2 linked regions of the Diceros bicornis minor genome follow. The protein of the gene in region 1 interacts with the protein of each later gene in a biochemical or structural test. Links are inferred from orthologs where the notes say so. Each region holds a gene or a part of one and is shown on either strand. Other genes may lie near its edges.

Evidence for each region.
Region 2: the proteins of SEC31A (region 1) and SEC13 form a complex in vitro, tested with the Homo sapiens proteins (2 studies listed by BioGRID and IntAct, with this or other methods). The link is inferred for Diceros bicornis minor from reciprocal best matches to the Homo sapiens genes SEC31A and SEC13.

Annotation. Positions count from the first base shown.
Region 1 is NC_080747.1:67,552,962-67,560,140, reverse strand, and holds the start of SEC31A (protein transport protein Sec31A), read left to right. Parts: upstream 1-4,174; 5' UTR 4,175-4,280; intron 4,281-7,179. UniProt on the Homo sapiens protein: Component of the coat protein complex II (COPII) which promotes the formation of transport vesicles from the endoplasmic reticulum (ER).
Region 2 is NC_080741.1:86,342,407-86,349,744, forward strand, and holds the start of SEC13 (protein SEC13 homolog), read left to right. Parts: upstream 1-4,100; 5' UTR 4,101-4,177; coding exon 4,178-4,180; intron 4,181-6,561; coding exon 6,562-6,606; intron 6,607-7,338. UniProt on the Homo sapiens protein: Functions as a component of the nuclear pore complex (NPC) and the COPII coat. At the endoplasmic reticulum, SEC13 is involved in the biogenesis of COPII-coated vesicles.

The sequences.
Region 1 (7,179 bases):
AATTTTCCAAATCAATAGATTCAATTCAGGATAGGCATTTGGGTGGGTGGGGGGCGGACTTTTAACCTTGGTAGTCATCTTTTCTTAAAAACAATGATGTAACCGTTCAGCCCCTGAAATTCTTAGAGAGCATATGTTCCAGGGTTTAAATTTGCTGAACTATTGGATATTTTGTAAATGACTCTGATAAGCCAGTGGATGACCATTGTGTAACTTAAGCTTTGTTCAAGAACAGCAGATAGGCAGGTGGTCGGAAGCTGGGAATCTCAAATCTAATACCAGATTAATCTGTCATTAATTAGGTATGTTATCTTCCGGTGTTTCTCAAATTTGAGGAATATAAAGGGGAAAAATTCTTGTGAATTCTCAATGTTGGTTTAAGTTAATTTCCTGTTTCTTAAATTTCTACAAACATAAAAGTGATATAAACTTTGTTTATGGTCCTTAATGAAAAGATTTACAAAATAAATGCATTCAAAAACAAAACTAAAACAACAATGGGATGGATGCTATTGTTTTGCAGCAGTGAACATGGTACTGGCTGCTATGGAATAAGTTATAAACACATACAGTCTTATGCCTTCTGATGATTGTAAAGTTTTACAATCTGGACAATAGTAGAGTTGTCTGGAACTTTACTGTTTTGCAGACCTCAAGATGATTGAAATGAGGGGAAGGGGCCTAAATTCTCAAAAGGATGTCTTTGGACTGTCTGCAAATCCTAATTTGAAGAATTCTGTATTACATTATCTGCAAACATTCTTCTAGCTCCAATGAGTAATTCAGAGTCTTGGAACTAGCATTCCTTTGAGAAAAGCTTCAGTTCTTATTTGATCTAGGATTAGGCTTGGCTAGTAGTTAACTAAATTGGATTAAAAGTTGACTATTGTGTGAACTAATACAGGTTTTTCTTTTTAGTTACAGGTGGTCCTTTATACCATTTCAACATTGCACGAACATCAGTTTTCACCGTTCAGTTAAATATCACCAGTCCCCCAACAACACAGTTGAAATTTCAGTTACCATGGTACTAACTGGGAATTGTTGCATAAACTTTGCTACTAGCTCTTTATTCCACAAGTCGTTATGCAAATAAAAGACGTGCATCATGATCAGTAACCAGTTACACATCATTTCTTTCAAAGTCAGTTGCTGACTGGTCACTAACCATCTGTTAGTTCACATACAGATAGTAAAGCATGTAGTTGTTTTGCCTCCTTGTCTCCCAGTGATAAACCCATGTGACATTTTACAAAAATGGATAATCAAAAAAGAGAATTGGTCAACAAAGATGACAGGCAGCAAAGAAACAAAAAGTGATAACACTGGAAGTGAAATTGGATGTGGTCGGAAGATTTGAAAATGGCGACAACAAAGCAAAGATAGGATGAGACCTAGGCCTACATGAAGCTACAGTACAAACCATATTAAAAAATCTGATGAATGTAAAAAACAAGGTAAAGTTGCTTCAACATCTTTCAGTTTAAATTGCACTAGGAACAGAATGCTGCTTATGGTTGAAATGGAGCATTTACTTCTACTTTGGATTGAGGACTAATCAAAAACAATTCCCATTCAGTTTGGCTTCATTCAGGCCAAAGCATTGAAGTTAGTTGCTACATTGAAGAAAAAGGGTAATTACAAGGAGACTGAAAAAGAACATTTTATTGCCAGTAAAGGGTGATTTCATTGTTGCAGAAATTGGCATGATAAATGTTATCTGGTGAAGCTGCAAGCTCACATAAGGATACTACTGTGAAATTTGCACCCAGATTCCAAGAATTATAGGCAGTCCTCGCTTTGCACAGTAGTATGAGACTATATTGTCCAAAACTGCAGGATTTGGATGGGATGTAAATGGACTTCTGAAGATACAGATGACCATGGGAATGTTGACACCGCCGCCGCTCAAGAAGCAGTTCTAGATATGCAGCCAGAGGAACTTAGTGAAGGCGAACATACAGTTATAAATGAGGAAAGTGGTTGTGTCACAAAGGATGAACTTGTCTCAGAGGAAGTGATGCCAGTGGAAAAGCTTCACATTAAAGGAACTCTCAGATATTTCATGATGTTGAAAGCTCAAAGGATAAAATTTTGGGAGCTGATCCAAATTTAGGAGTATGACAATTTGCCAAGGCATAGAAAAGATGCTCCATATCATAAGTTATATGATGAGAAGAAAGCAAGCAGTGTTCAAACTACTCTTGATACTTTTTTGTAAAGAAATAAAACACTAATTTCCAGTGTTTCTAATGTTTTAAATATTAGTTTTACTTTTTTACATTTATAACTAACACCAAGAGAGTGTTTTGACAAATTTTAAGGTCACAGAACAATCACAGACTATTAATCCCAAAGATTAAGATTGCTTTGCATAGTTTAGTTTACTAGTCAAAGCAAGAACTGCCTGCATTTAAAACAAGCTAGGGAGTCTATATTTTATCAACTATAAATACATCACATCTAGAAATGGCTATAGTTTATTTTTAGCCTTATCATAACCATTTATAAATTATAAGTGACATTTTTCATAGTGCTTTTGTGTGCTACTATAACAAGGCTTTGATTTAAAAATTTATAATATTGAATGTCTTATATTTGGACTTTGAAATTAATCCATTTGTAGGGAAAATCCTGTCAAATCGAATAGGGGTTGGTAAACTTCCTGTAAGGGGCCATATAGTAAATATTTTAGGCTTTGCAGGCCATATGGTCTCTCTATCAACTACTCAACTTTGCCCTTGTAGCACTAAAATAGCAGTAGACAATACATAAACCATTGAGCATAGCTGTGTTCCAATAAAACTTTATGGGACACTGATTTCATATAATTTTTGCATGTCGAGATTTTTTTTGCCATTCTTAGTCCACAGGGCTTACAGAAGGGGGTGAGGGACGGGAAGGTTTATAGTTTGACTGAACGCAAGAGGAACGTGTAGTTGCACTGTGTGATTGTATTAAATCATACCAAAGAATGTGCTATTTTGGGAGAGTTGTTCTAATGAACCCTTTTTTCATACCAATGCACACTTATATGTAGTTGGGGGTCTTTTGGGAATGGGGCAGTAGGGAGGTCAGTGTTTTCTGTTTAGGGATTTTTTATTGTCACTTCTTTAGGTAAACTAGTCCTTGCAGCTATAAATAAAAATGGAAGGCTTTTTAGAACACTAGAAATTAGCTATTGTAGCTTAAGTAATCCACTCGAGCTGGTCTATTTCCTTCAGAAAAAAACTTGCTTTTTAAATTGAAGTACAAGTACAAGACACTGAAAGGGTGTTGGAAAGAGTGCAGTAAAACTATAAAAATATGCCTACTCTCTAGTATTTAAATAGTGTCTCGCATATTTTACCTGTTGTGTACAAGAAAGAAACATCCAGTGAAGGCGCTTAGAAAAGGCTTTAGGAAAGAGAGTTGACTGAATGATCCGTGTAATGGGAAGAGAACTGGTCCAGAAGTTAGGAGACCTGGGTTGAATCCAGGTTCCGGTACTTGAGCAAGTGATTTTCCTCTGGCTTTACTTCGCTGTAACCCTAAACTAGAAACGACATTCAGGCAACGCACTAATTAGATGGCAGGCTCTGGCGAAACTAGCCAATTTCCAGGGACTGAGGGCAAATAATAGATCCCAAACAGGACCACAGGGTCCTAACTGGAATACCTTACCCCTACGCCTCTGGAATAACCAACTGTCCACAACAGCCTTTGAGTAGGACCAGATCCTCTGGTTTTAAAGAAGTGCTCAAAACGCAATGCTGTCGAACCAAGTAAGCAATTTTAAGAACCCAGACACAAATTACTGCATTAAGGCCCTTGCAGCCCGATTTTCACGTGGTTTGTCTGGTGTTGGCAGTGTCGCGGGGGCTGCTGACGTCTCACAGGACTGGTGCTACGTGGCATTCCTGCGGGCCGCGGTCTGTCCTCGGCCAAACAGCTACACCCAGGAGGCCGGTTCTTCGTAGTCCGCCACCGCGCCCCGCGCGCCGCCCCTCCGAAAGGGTACCCGGCCTCACAGGCGGGCGAGAACGCCGCCAGCGCCGCACGCTCCGCCCCCGGCCTGCCACGGCTTCCGGAAGTGCCGAGGTGGGCCGCGCGCCGGAGTGGGCGGGGCGAGGCGCAGCTCCCGGAAGCGTCCGCCGGCTAGCTGGGTGGGGCTGCGGCTGCCACGTTGGAGCGGAACGTGGAGGTGGCCCTGGGCGGGGAGGAGGGGCGGCGGCGAATGCTGGGAGAGTCTGACGGGCGCCGCGCTCACGCAGGAACTGGTCGCCGAGGGTCCCCGCCAGGTGCGTCCGCCCATTCCCTCCTGCCCCCTTCCCCGGCCCGCGGGCCTTGAGTTAGATCCCGGGCCAAAGCGGGGACCCTGGCCTCGGTCACCGCTGGTCCCTGCTCGTCTGCGGCCCGGTCTCTGGTGGCAGGGCGCCCCTGGTCTTCGTTTCGGGCCCGGCAGGACGACGCCTGGCGTCACGGCCGCCTCGGGCATCGCGCCGGTCCGCATCGGCCCCTGAGGCTGGCGACAGGGTGTTTTGCGGGGCTGGTAGCTGGGGTCTGAGGTTAGGAGACCTTCAGACCCTTGTGCACAGAGAGGTGCGGTCCCCAAGGGCAAGGGAAGGAAACAAACCTTAGGATTACTTTGGTTGACTTTAGTTTGGTCGGGATTTTTTGTTTATGTTTCAACTGTTGCCAAATTTGAAGGTTCCTAAGTTTTAACTGAGGGCTACTGTGATTTAACCAGGACTGGATTATTTTAAGGACAGTAGTCGCAGATCGCAGCCTATACGTCGAAGGAAGTCTCATTAAGTGTTGTACGTTTTTGCTAGTAAATTACTATGATAAGAGGTTAAATTGCGGGGCAGGTGTAAAATAAATCAAAATATTGCCTGAGCTTGTAGGCATTATAAACTTTTCTGTGAGCTCAGGGAACTAATTTTACGTAGGTCTTTCTGAAATTGCAGTGATGGTCTGTGACAAATCCTTCCTCCTAAACTGCCTTCTCTAACTACAGAAGACTAAAATTTATTGTGTTTGTCGGCAACTGTAACTGTATTTAATCCATAATTAGAGCCTCGTCCTTGTATCATACTAGCCTACGTTTTCTGTACATATCGATTGTTCTAGTGTTGGCTAAAGTTTACTCACCTTTTCTTAGTGGTTCTTCTGTGCTCCTTGTTTCTCATTGTCCCCACTTACAGCTCTGGGAAAGATTTGTAGACTCTTAAGAACTTTTGGATAACTTGAAGTGTTTTTGTGGTTGTGAATTTATGTTACACACATCTAAGGTTATTTGGGAAAGATGAGATTTGGAATGGATTTAGAATTATACTGCTTAATTTTATATAAACAGGTTCTTTTCTGAAGCTAATAACATGAGAATAGAAAGAAATTTGTAAACTGAAGAACAGTGGTTCTTAACCTTTTGGGATTTCACTCCCTTTTGCGGATCTGGTGAAAGCATTGGATCATCTTCCTAGAAAAATGCACGTACATGTATAGGAATGATATAGAAATGATATGAATGAAATGATATACAAAACTATATCATTTCATGAGGTTTATGTATCCCAAGTTAAAAACTCATATAAGGTAGTATTATTAAGTTGATTTTTACGTTGTTTTTAGAAATGTCATTCTTAGGTTAATTTCAGCTCAAAAAGTTTTATTTATTAGATTGCAGATGAGTATGACACTATTTAGTTCAGTAACCAATGCACAGTTGCTTCTTTGATTTGGTTGAGATGAGCCTAGAACATTGATAACACTGAATAAATCTTCTAGAACACGTGTGCCCATCCATAATGAGATATTTTGCCCACACAAGATGGATTTTTATTAAGGCCGTGCCAGCTAGGGATTGTATTCCTGGTTTGGGAGTCAGAGTTTCCAATTCTATTGCCTCTTTCACTTTTAACTTTTTGAGGTATGGGTCAGCTCTCTATATATCATTGTAAGGTTGGTATTTTTTTAGAGATAGTACTGTTGGGTTTTAGTATTGTTTCACAAAATTAGCATTTAGAAAATAAGCGGAAAGTTTCCACTTAACTGCATGCAATGATCGTGGAGAAAAATTTGGATGAAAAAAATGAAAGTTTTACTCTGGAACATAAATTTTTCTTCAAGAGATGTATTCTTGAAGATTTATTGGGATAAACATTTTAAATTGTGACTTTGGTAATAGCTGACATTTACAAGCATTTATTTACTACATGCCGGGCACTGTTCTAAGCACTGTGCAAATTCTTACAACAACTCTGTGGCATGGATACTTTTATTGTACAAATCTACCTCAACTTCTGATGGGGTTACGTCCTGATAAACCCATTGTGAGTTGAAGATATCATAAGTGGAAAATGCATTTAATACACCTAATCTACCGAACATCATAGCTTAGCCTCGCCTACCTTAAATGTGCTCAGAACACTTACATTAGCCTACAGTTGGACAGATTACTAACACAAAGCCTATTTTATAAAAAAGTGTTGAATATCTCATGTAATTTATTGAACACTGTACTGAAAGTGAAAAACAGAGTGGTTGTGTGGGTACAGAATGGTTGTGAGTGTATCCATTGTTTACCCTCGAGATTGAGTCGCTGACTGGGAGCTGTGGCTCTCAGGTGCTGCCCAGCATCATGAGTATCGTACCGCATATCACTAGCCCGGGAAAAGATCAAAATTGAAAGTATGGTTTCTACTGAATGCATATTGCTTTCTCGCCATCATAAAGTTGAAAAATTGTAAGTGGAGCTATCGTAAATCAGGGACCATCTGTACATATTTTACCAAGTGGGTAGCCAAGACATACATAGGTAAACTTACATGCCTAAAGTCAGAGCTGGGACATGGTGCAGTTGGAATTTAAACCGAGAGTGTTGGCTCCCGACTCCACACTCTTAACTGCTATGCTACAGATATTGTCTTACAGATGACTATCTTCACAATTTTCTTTTTATATTTTCAAAGTTATTATGTTCTGTGTAAAATAGTCTTGAATAAAACAAATCTGCATAGTGTGAATTCTAATCACATAATATTGAAAAAATTACACAAAGCTGCAAAACTGCTCTTTTTTTTTTTGCTGAGGAAGTTTCTCTCTGGGCTAATATCTGTGCCAGTCCTCCTCTATTTTGTACTTGGGTCGCTACCACAGCATGGCTGCCGATGAGTGGTGTAGGTCCATGCCCAGGAA
Region 2 (7,338 bases), on another chromosome or scaffold:
TTCTTTTCTGTCTTCTGGACAGGGGCTCCAGGAGAAGGCAGCAGATTCATTTCTGAGGTCTAAGCTCACCAACTTGTCTCCCTCCAACAGATGAGGGACGAGCAGGGGCCCATTCAGTGACCTCTGGGGCTGTAGAGTCACCTGCCTTTAAGGTGGGCAGGGAGGAAACTCAGGCGTTTCCTTCCTGCGACTCAAGCAGTGCTCTCCCTAACCCAGAAGCAGCCTCGATTGCTCCCACCAACCCCTCACCATGGCCCCTTGCCCCCTTGTCCCAACCAAAGCATAGAGCTGACAAGAGGGAGGGTGCCCTGCCTCTGACACCAGACTCATGACAATGACTGCACTGGGGCAGGGACTCTGGACCTGTCTTATCCTGGGTATCCCAGTTACTGAAGAGCCACACTTTTCCCCAGCCATCCTGAAATGCCCCCTTTACCGCAGACTGACAGCTTAGATAAATGTGGGTCTGTTTCTGGAATTTCTCTTCTGTTCCCCTATCTGTGTGTCTCATCTGGCACCAGCCACATGGTTTTAATTACTGTCGCTTTATATAATGTTTTAATATGTGCTGGGACAAGTCCCCTTCACTCTTTTTTGTTTTTTACAAAAATTTACAAAATTCCCTGGTTATTCTCTCACATCTACTCTTCCAAGTAAACTTTAAAATTTTGCCAAGTCCTCCACCTCTCCCCTCCTCCCACCCCAAATACTGGGCCCTGTCATTCTATGTGCAAACATCCCGCCACTGGAAGTACTGTCCACTCAGGCTCGTTAAATAAAGTGTCCTGTGAGGAGAGACAAAAAGGGCGCCCTGAATCTTGAGGGAAGCCCAATGTTCCTCCCATCATCTCACCTGTCCCCTAAGCCAGGGTGTCATCAGAGAGGCCACCGAGCCACCACCCAATCTCAGTTTGAGACCCAAAGTCACCCCCTTTGGTTGTGCTGGGCTAGCCCCTCCATCTGCCCTGGTCCAGATGAGAAAGAGGGGTGTCCCCCAGACCCAGAACTACCAGAATGCGGGGCCCAGTTGCCTCTATTTCTAATTCTCCTCATGGAGAAACATTTATTCCTGTCTCCCTTTCCTGAACTGCTTTTCTTTGGGGGAGGGTCAACTCTTGCTCTTCGTTCGGAGTTTTCAGTAGTTGGGTGACAGGCCCTTTGGGGTGCAGCTGTTTCTTGCCTGGCCTTTCTCACCACCCGGACTCCCCTCCCCGTTCTCGCTCTACTTACAGGAGGCTGTCACCCGGGTGCACTGTGACGTGCCTCGCACCCCAAACTCTCTCCACAGTCTCTGAGATCCCACCATTGGAAGAGCAGGGCAGGGTTGCATTTCTAGAAGGCTTTTGGGTCTTCCAGAGCCAAGGCCTAAACCAGACAACAGCAGAAAATCCCCAAGTCTTCTCCAAGTTCCAAAGCAAGCTCTCCTGACGTTGACGTAGAGATCCCACCCACCCGAGTGGGGGCCGGGGGGGTCCCAGGCCCTGGGCATCAGCCATCACCCCCTCCACCAAAAGCAAGAGATTTGAGGCCGCTTTCGGACCGCCCTTCTCAGCCCCGAGTCTGTTTTGTAATGCCTGTGGTGCTCTCCCTCCGGACCTTTCCTCTCTGGGGTCACCACACTTTGCTAACTCTTGTGTACACATATTTTATAACAGAGTAGCGAGGAAATGGTGCCACCTCCAGCTTCCACAAGCTGCCTGGGCTCTGGGGGGCTCTGGGGGGCTCTGGGACAATCGGGGCTGGGAAATGACTGTGCTCTTATTGTACACTCTTTATTTCTCTGTATCTCTGGCTTGTGCTCTTTGTAATTAATGGGATTTGTCTGCCTTTTCAACACTATACTGAGCAATAACAATAAATGCACACATGGAAATGCAGACACGGTACACATCACAAGGCCTTTTTCCGTAGGCTAGCTGGGTCCCTACCCTCCGTGGATTTGAACTTAGGGGGAAACTGAATCCCTGGGAGGGAAAGGCACTTTGCCCAAGGGTGCACAGCGCAGTGGGAAGTCTCTTTCCTTCCACCTAGTCACACCTTTCAAACATCCACCGTTCAAGGGAGACAAGTTTAACCTGCCATGAGTCATTAACCTTTCACAAGGAATGGCTGACAGTCCCAGAGAGCAAGACTTTGGGGGAAGGGGCCTCAGGAGGAGGAGGAGATTCAGGGGCAGAGGGTCTGGGAGGTAGGGGCACAAATTGGAGAAAACTAAGAATGGGCTGATTTGGGGTCTGGGATTAACCAGAGGGAGGTGATGGGAGATATGGACATGGGATGTAGGTGGCATCCCCTACTAGGGAAGGGGAAGGCAGAGGGGAGCCTGGCACCCTAAGAGTCTGAACTTTGCAAACCTCTGCTGAACATCAGCGGAGAATGAGAATGTGCCCAGATCAAGAGATGGTCCCAGTGTTGGTACAAAGGGTGAGGGTTGCACATGCACACCACACACACACACACACACACACACACACACACACAAATCCCAGCTCTTTTCAGAGAGAACTGATCCCCAGATCAAGCACCACAGGCCCATCCAACTTCCAAACACCGTTTCACATCCAAGGGTCCCTTTAATCCCAAGATCCACCTTCAGAGGAGGTATTATAACTCCCACTTGACAGAAGAGGAGACAGCAGCTCAGAGAGGTGGAAGGTGTGCCCACCTAGTAAGTAGGAGAGTCAGTACTGATACTTAGCAGTCTTGATCCCAGTATCAGCACTCAAAACCTCCATGTTATAATGCTTTTCAGTCCCACCAGCAAAGACCCTAATGAATAAGATACAGTTGCATTCCTTGTCCCAAATCCCCAGTCTCTCCAACTTCAATGCCAACACCAAGGAATTCCTTTAATAACCACTATGCCCCATGCATTATATTTGTATTATATCTAATATGCCATTGTCCCCATGTCCACTTGAGGAAGGCGAGGCTCAGAGAGAAGTGATTTGACCTTATCACCCAGAGAATCACTGGTGCAGCCACAGAGCCAAGGCCAGGGCCTGTCCCTTGAAACACAGGGGGCCCAAGAGCCCCGCCCCTTTGTTGGCTGCTCCGCCCTAACGGCACGCCTTCACACCCCTCCAATATTTCTCCATTAGAGGGAAGTGAGGAGTCTTGAAAGCTGGGGTGGGGGTGGAAGGGTGGGTTGCTGCCCAGAGGCCCAGCCCTGAGTTCTGTGAGACGCCACTCGCTGGGCCCCCGCTCCAAAGCTCCTTGATGGTCTGGGTGTGTCCCACTCTCTGAGCCTTAACATCTTCCCTCAAGCAGCACCCTCTCCAGCTAGGGTTCTCACCTCCAGTTTCAAAAGAGGAAATGGAGGGACTGCGACGTACCCAAGCAGAGTCTAGTCTCCACCCTAGTCACCGGACTCCTTACTGCCATGAGCGGCCGAGGGCTGCCAGATCTGTGTGGCTGAGGGAGCCCCCGGCCCTGTCCAGCAGTGCAGCGTTCTCACTGTGCTTGTGGGAAGCGGGGATTGGGGTCAGGAGCCCCGGGGCTTGGGTCCCGGCTCTAGCTGCAGGAGCCTGGCTGAGATCCCTCCTTGCCTGGGGGCTCTACCTGTGAGCCAGACTCAGGGGATCCCAGCTCTCCGAGGAAGGGGCAGTTTGGAGCATGGGTCCCCCGGCTTGGAGAGGGCTCAGCCTCTGGTAGGGGGCATTTCCTGGACTTCTCTGCCCCTGGTCCCAGCCTTGGGTCCTGAGGAGGGACTAACAACAAGGAAGCACGAGGACCGGTCTCCCGACTCCCCCCAGAACTAATCAACCTACAATGGTCATCACAAGGCCGGCCGCACCCAGAACCGCAGACAGGCGGGTGACGCTGTGGGTGTGAATCCTTTCTTTCGTATACGGATCTCAGGAAAAGGGAAGGGTTGATCCAGAGCAAGACAGCCTAGATCTTCATATTCCAAAAGCCCCTGGTCAGGGTCGCCGGGGGAACGAGAACCCCACCCCGCGAGTCTCGCGCGTTCTGCAAGCAGAAGGGGCGGGGCCGCGGGGGGAGAGGTGGGGGCGGCCTTTGGAAAGCGCGGAACCTTGGTGTGAGCTGGCGCGTTGCTGCCCGGAGGCTCCTGCGCCGGGGCCCCACGGCCTGCCGGCCCGGCGACGGAAGTGAGGCTTTCGGAGGCGCCGCCGGGAGCTGCCACGTCCGAGGCCGGAGCCGGCACACTGCAGACATGGTGAGCGTGGGGGCCGGGGCGCCGAGCGGGTCGCGGCCTCCCGGGATCCTTGCCGCGCCGAGGTCTGGGGGCTCCGGCCCTGCCCCGCCGGGCGGCTGGGGTGCAGAGGGGCGGCCCCGGGCCCCGCCGGAGTTGTGCGGCCGCGCCGCGCGCCCCTGCCTGTCCTCTCCTCCCCCCCCGGCGGTTGGAAAGAGCCCCCGACCCGCGGGGCTCCTGCGCCCGAGCCCGGGGGCAGCCCGGCGTGGTTGGCAGTCAGCCCGCCGGCGGCCCTCGAGCGGGCGCCGTCGCCGTCCCCGCCGACCGGCGCGGAGCCGCGGGGCCAGAGGCCAGGCCTGCGGCGCGCCGAGGGCCCGAGCCGGGATTCGCCCCGAGCAGTCCCGGTGCCGCCGCCGCTCTCGGCAGCCGCTGTGGCGGGCGCCCGGCGCTGTGCGGGGGGCTGCGCGGCCCTGCGGCGGGGCCGTGTCTGCGCCCTCCGCGCGGCTCCGGGAGTGCAGGGACGGCCGCCTGAGCCCGGCGCGGGGGTCGGGAAGGCAGGCGTGCCTGCGCCCCGAGGGAGCCCGGGGGAGCCGGGAGTCCAGACGCTGGCTGCAGCTCCTGCCCTGCAGGCGCGGGTGCGAATCGTGCATCTGCTTTAGCCTCTGGTTCCTCAGCTGCTGAGAAGAGTTGGGGTCTTGTGCTCTGACAGTTAGCTCGTTCTAAATGGACTTTTAACTCGTTAACTGATTCTGAAGAGCTGAATTGTGAGGGCTGCTTCTTAATACTTAACAAGGACCAGACGACTTGAGGTGCTTGGGAGGAAGGACTTTTTAATAAAGGGTTTTGTTTTGTTTTCTTAAAAAGCACTTGTTGAGAAGCGGGGTTCACCAATCCTGTCTGGGGTGTGAGAGTAGTTGAAAGTAAGTGCTGGTTATCTCTGAGGTCCTTTGGTTAGCTGGTATGAAACTACCAGTGAATTTTCTTCCTGACTCTCCTTAGCCCTCAGCCAGTGATTTAGGGCATTGGATGTAACAACTACTTTATGTTCTAGATGAGCAGACTAGTGGAGTGGAAAGCTCGGTGGGCTGGGAGTTAGCAGGTGGGGCTCTTCCCAGCTCCACCTTTATCTAGCTCTGGGACTTTGGCAAGTGCTTTCTCTTCTCTGGGCTTCTTCAGTTCTTTAGTCTGTCAGGCAGCTCTGATTAACTCTGCTCTTCATCGTTCCCACTGCACATGTGATGGCACTTTGTAATCTAGACAGCTTGGCACACGTAAGAGACTCTTCTCTTTTATCCTCCTTACCTGCCTTTGCAGACCGAGGGGGCCCACTTTTTAGGGAGTCTAGACTTCGGTGAGAGAACTTGTGCTTACTTGATGTGTACCTTTTGGACTGCTTGGCAGCCATCCTCTTCCAGTGTTCACCTTTCTGAAAAGTCAAGTCAGACTTTATACCTGCAGGTCTTGTGCTGGAAAAGGATGAAATGGGGAAATGGTAAGAAATATCAGTTCCAAACTGAAACCTTTTCAATCCCGGGAGTTTGAAGAGAACAGTGGTTGAGTAAAGTAAAACTGTCTGTTTTTGTTCGTTTGCTTATTCATTCCTTCTGGTTGCAAAGCATTGTGCTGGGTGATTTGAGAGGATTCAAAACTATGGCCAACGCAGACCTTGGCTTGAGGGAGCTCACCTAGTTGGGAGAAGAAACAGCGTCAAGTGTTGTAGACATTCAGTGCTGAAGATATTCAGAGGAGTCCTGCCACTTGGGGGATCTGGGAATCTTCAAAAAGGGGGGCATCATTTGAGCGGGATCAGTAGGTGACAGTCTGAGATCTGTCACAGGGGGTGGGCCAGGAAGCAGCCTCAGGAGAAACTTGAATCAGTTCTCCAGGTCTTAGGTATTAACCGTGTTATGCAAAAAACTGCCTGGAACATGTGAGCCTCTGTCATCCTGGAAGGGAACACCAGCCACAGCTCCCTCAGGGACCCTCTTCACCCCCAAAGGTAGCGAGGACTGCTTGCTATGCCCCCTCTTGGTTCCTGTTATCCCCTTCTGCTTGGACTGTGTTTTTTCCCAGTGCCACCTGGCACTTGCTCCTCATCTAAGCCCCAGTTGGTGTCTACCACTAGTGGCCCATTAGGCTGCTACAGCACTCGTAACCACCGTCAGAGCATTTATCTTGCCATGTTCAGGTTACTTATGTGCAAGCTTCGCAGGGGCAAGAAGTACCTCTTATTTGTGTCTATATCTCCAACCCCTTGGCAAAAAGAAGGTACTTAGAGTGAATGTTTACTGAATGAATGAATGAACAAATGAAGTCAAGAGCTTTAGAAATGATCTGTGGATTTAATGACATGATTGTATTCTAACTGCCATCAGTTCATTTACCAATGATAACTTTGGTTCTAGGTGTCAGTAATTAACACTGTGGACACCTCCCACGAGGACATGATTGTAAGTATTCCCTTAGCGCTCCCTCCCACACTGTGGACATGGGCATTTCTGTGGGAGGGAAACATTTCTGTTGATCATTCATGAATCCAGTGTAGCTTTGCAGCCTTTACCAGTTAGGCTGTAGCCTCAGGGGTGTGGTCAGCCTCCCAGCAGCACCCTGTGGGTTGGCAGGGCTGTGGCAGTCTGGTCGCTCTCTGGTGGGAGGAACGTAGGATTAGTTTATAGCTCAAAGCCCTCAGTCTTCTGGCCAACAAAGTAACCTGCTCTGGGATAGAAGCTGAGTGGGTATAGGTTTGACAATAGTCTTCCCACCTGTCTTCTTCCTGAGGCCACTTCTTAGCCCCATTGGAAAGGGGGTTAAAAGAACAGAGAGGAGGAAGATGACTCAGTACAAATGCAGAGGCCAGGCACAGCGAGAGCCCAAGGCAGAGCCAGGTAGGACCACCACAGACACCCTTTGACCCAGAAGACATTAACTGAGGGCATTTCCGAGAGGCAAACACAAGGCTCAGTATAAGAGGACAGGGCCGTGGAGAAGGTCCAGAGGTTAAAGTCTCCAGCAGCAAAGATGCAGACTCGGTGTCATGCAGGGCCCAGCAGTCCAGGCAGCCTTACAGCCTTTTATCCCAGAGTTCCTGCCCTCACAGCCTGCCCACCAGTAGTTGCTTTTGGGCTTCTGAGGGGTTGCCTGGTCTCAGAGTTGTATATGTTCCCTGGATGCAGTCATGTGTG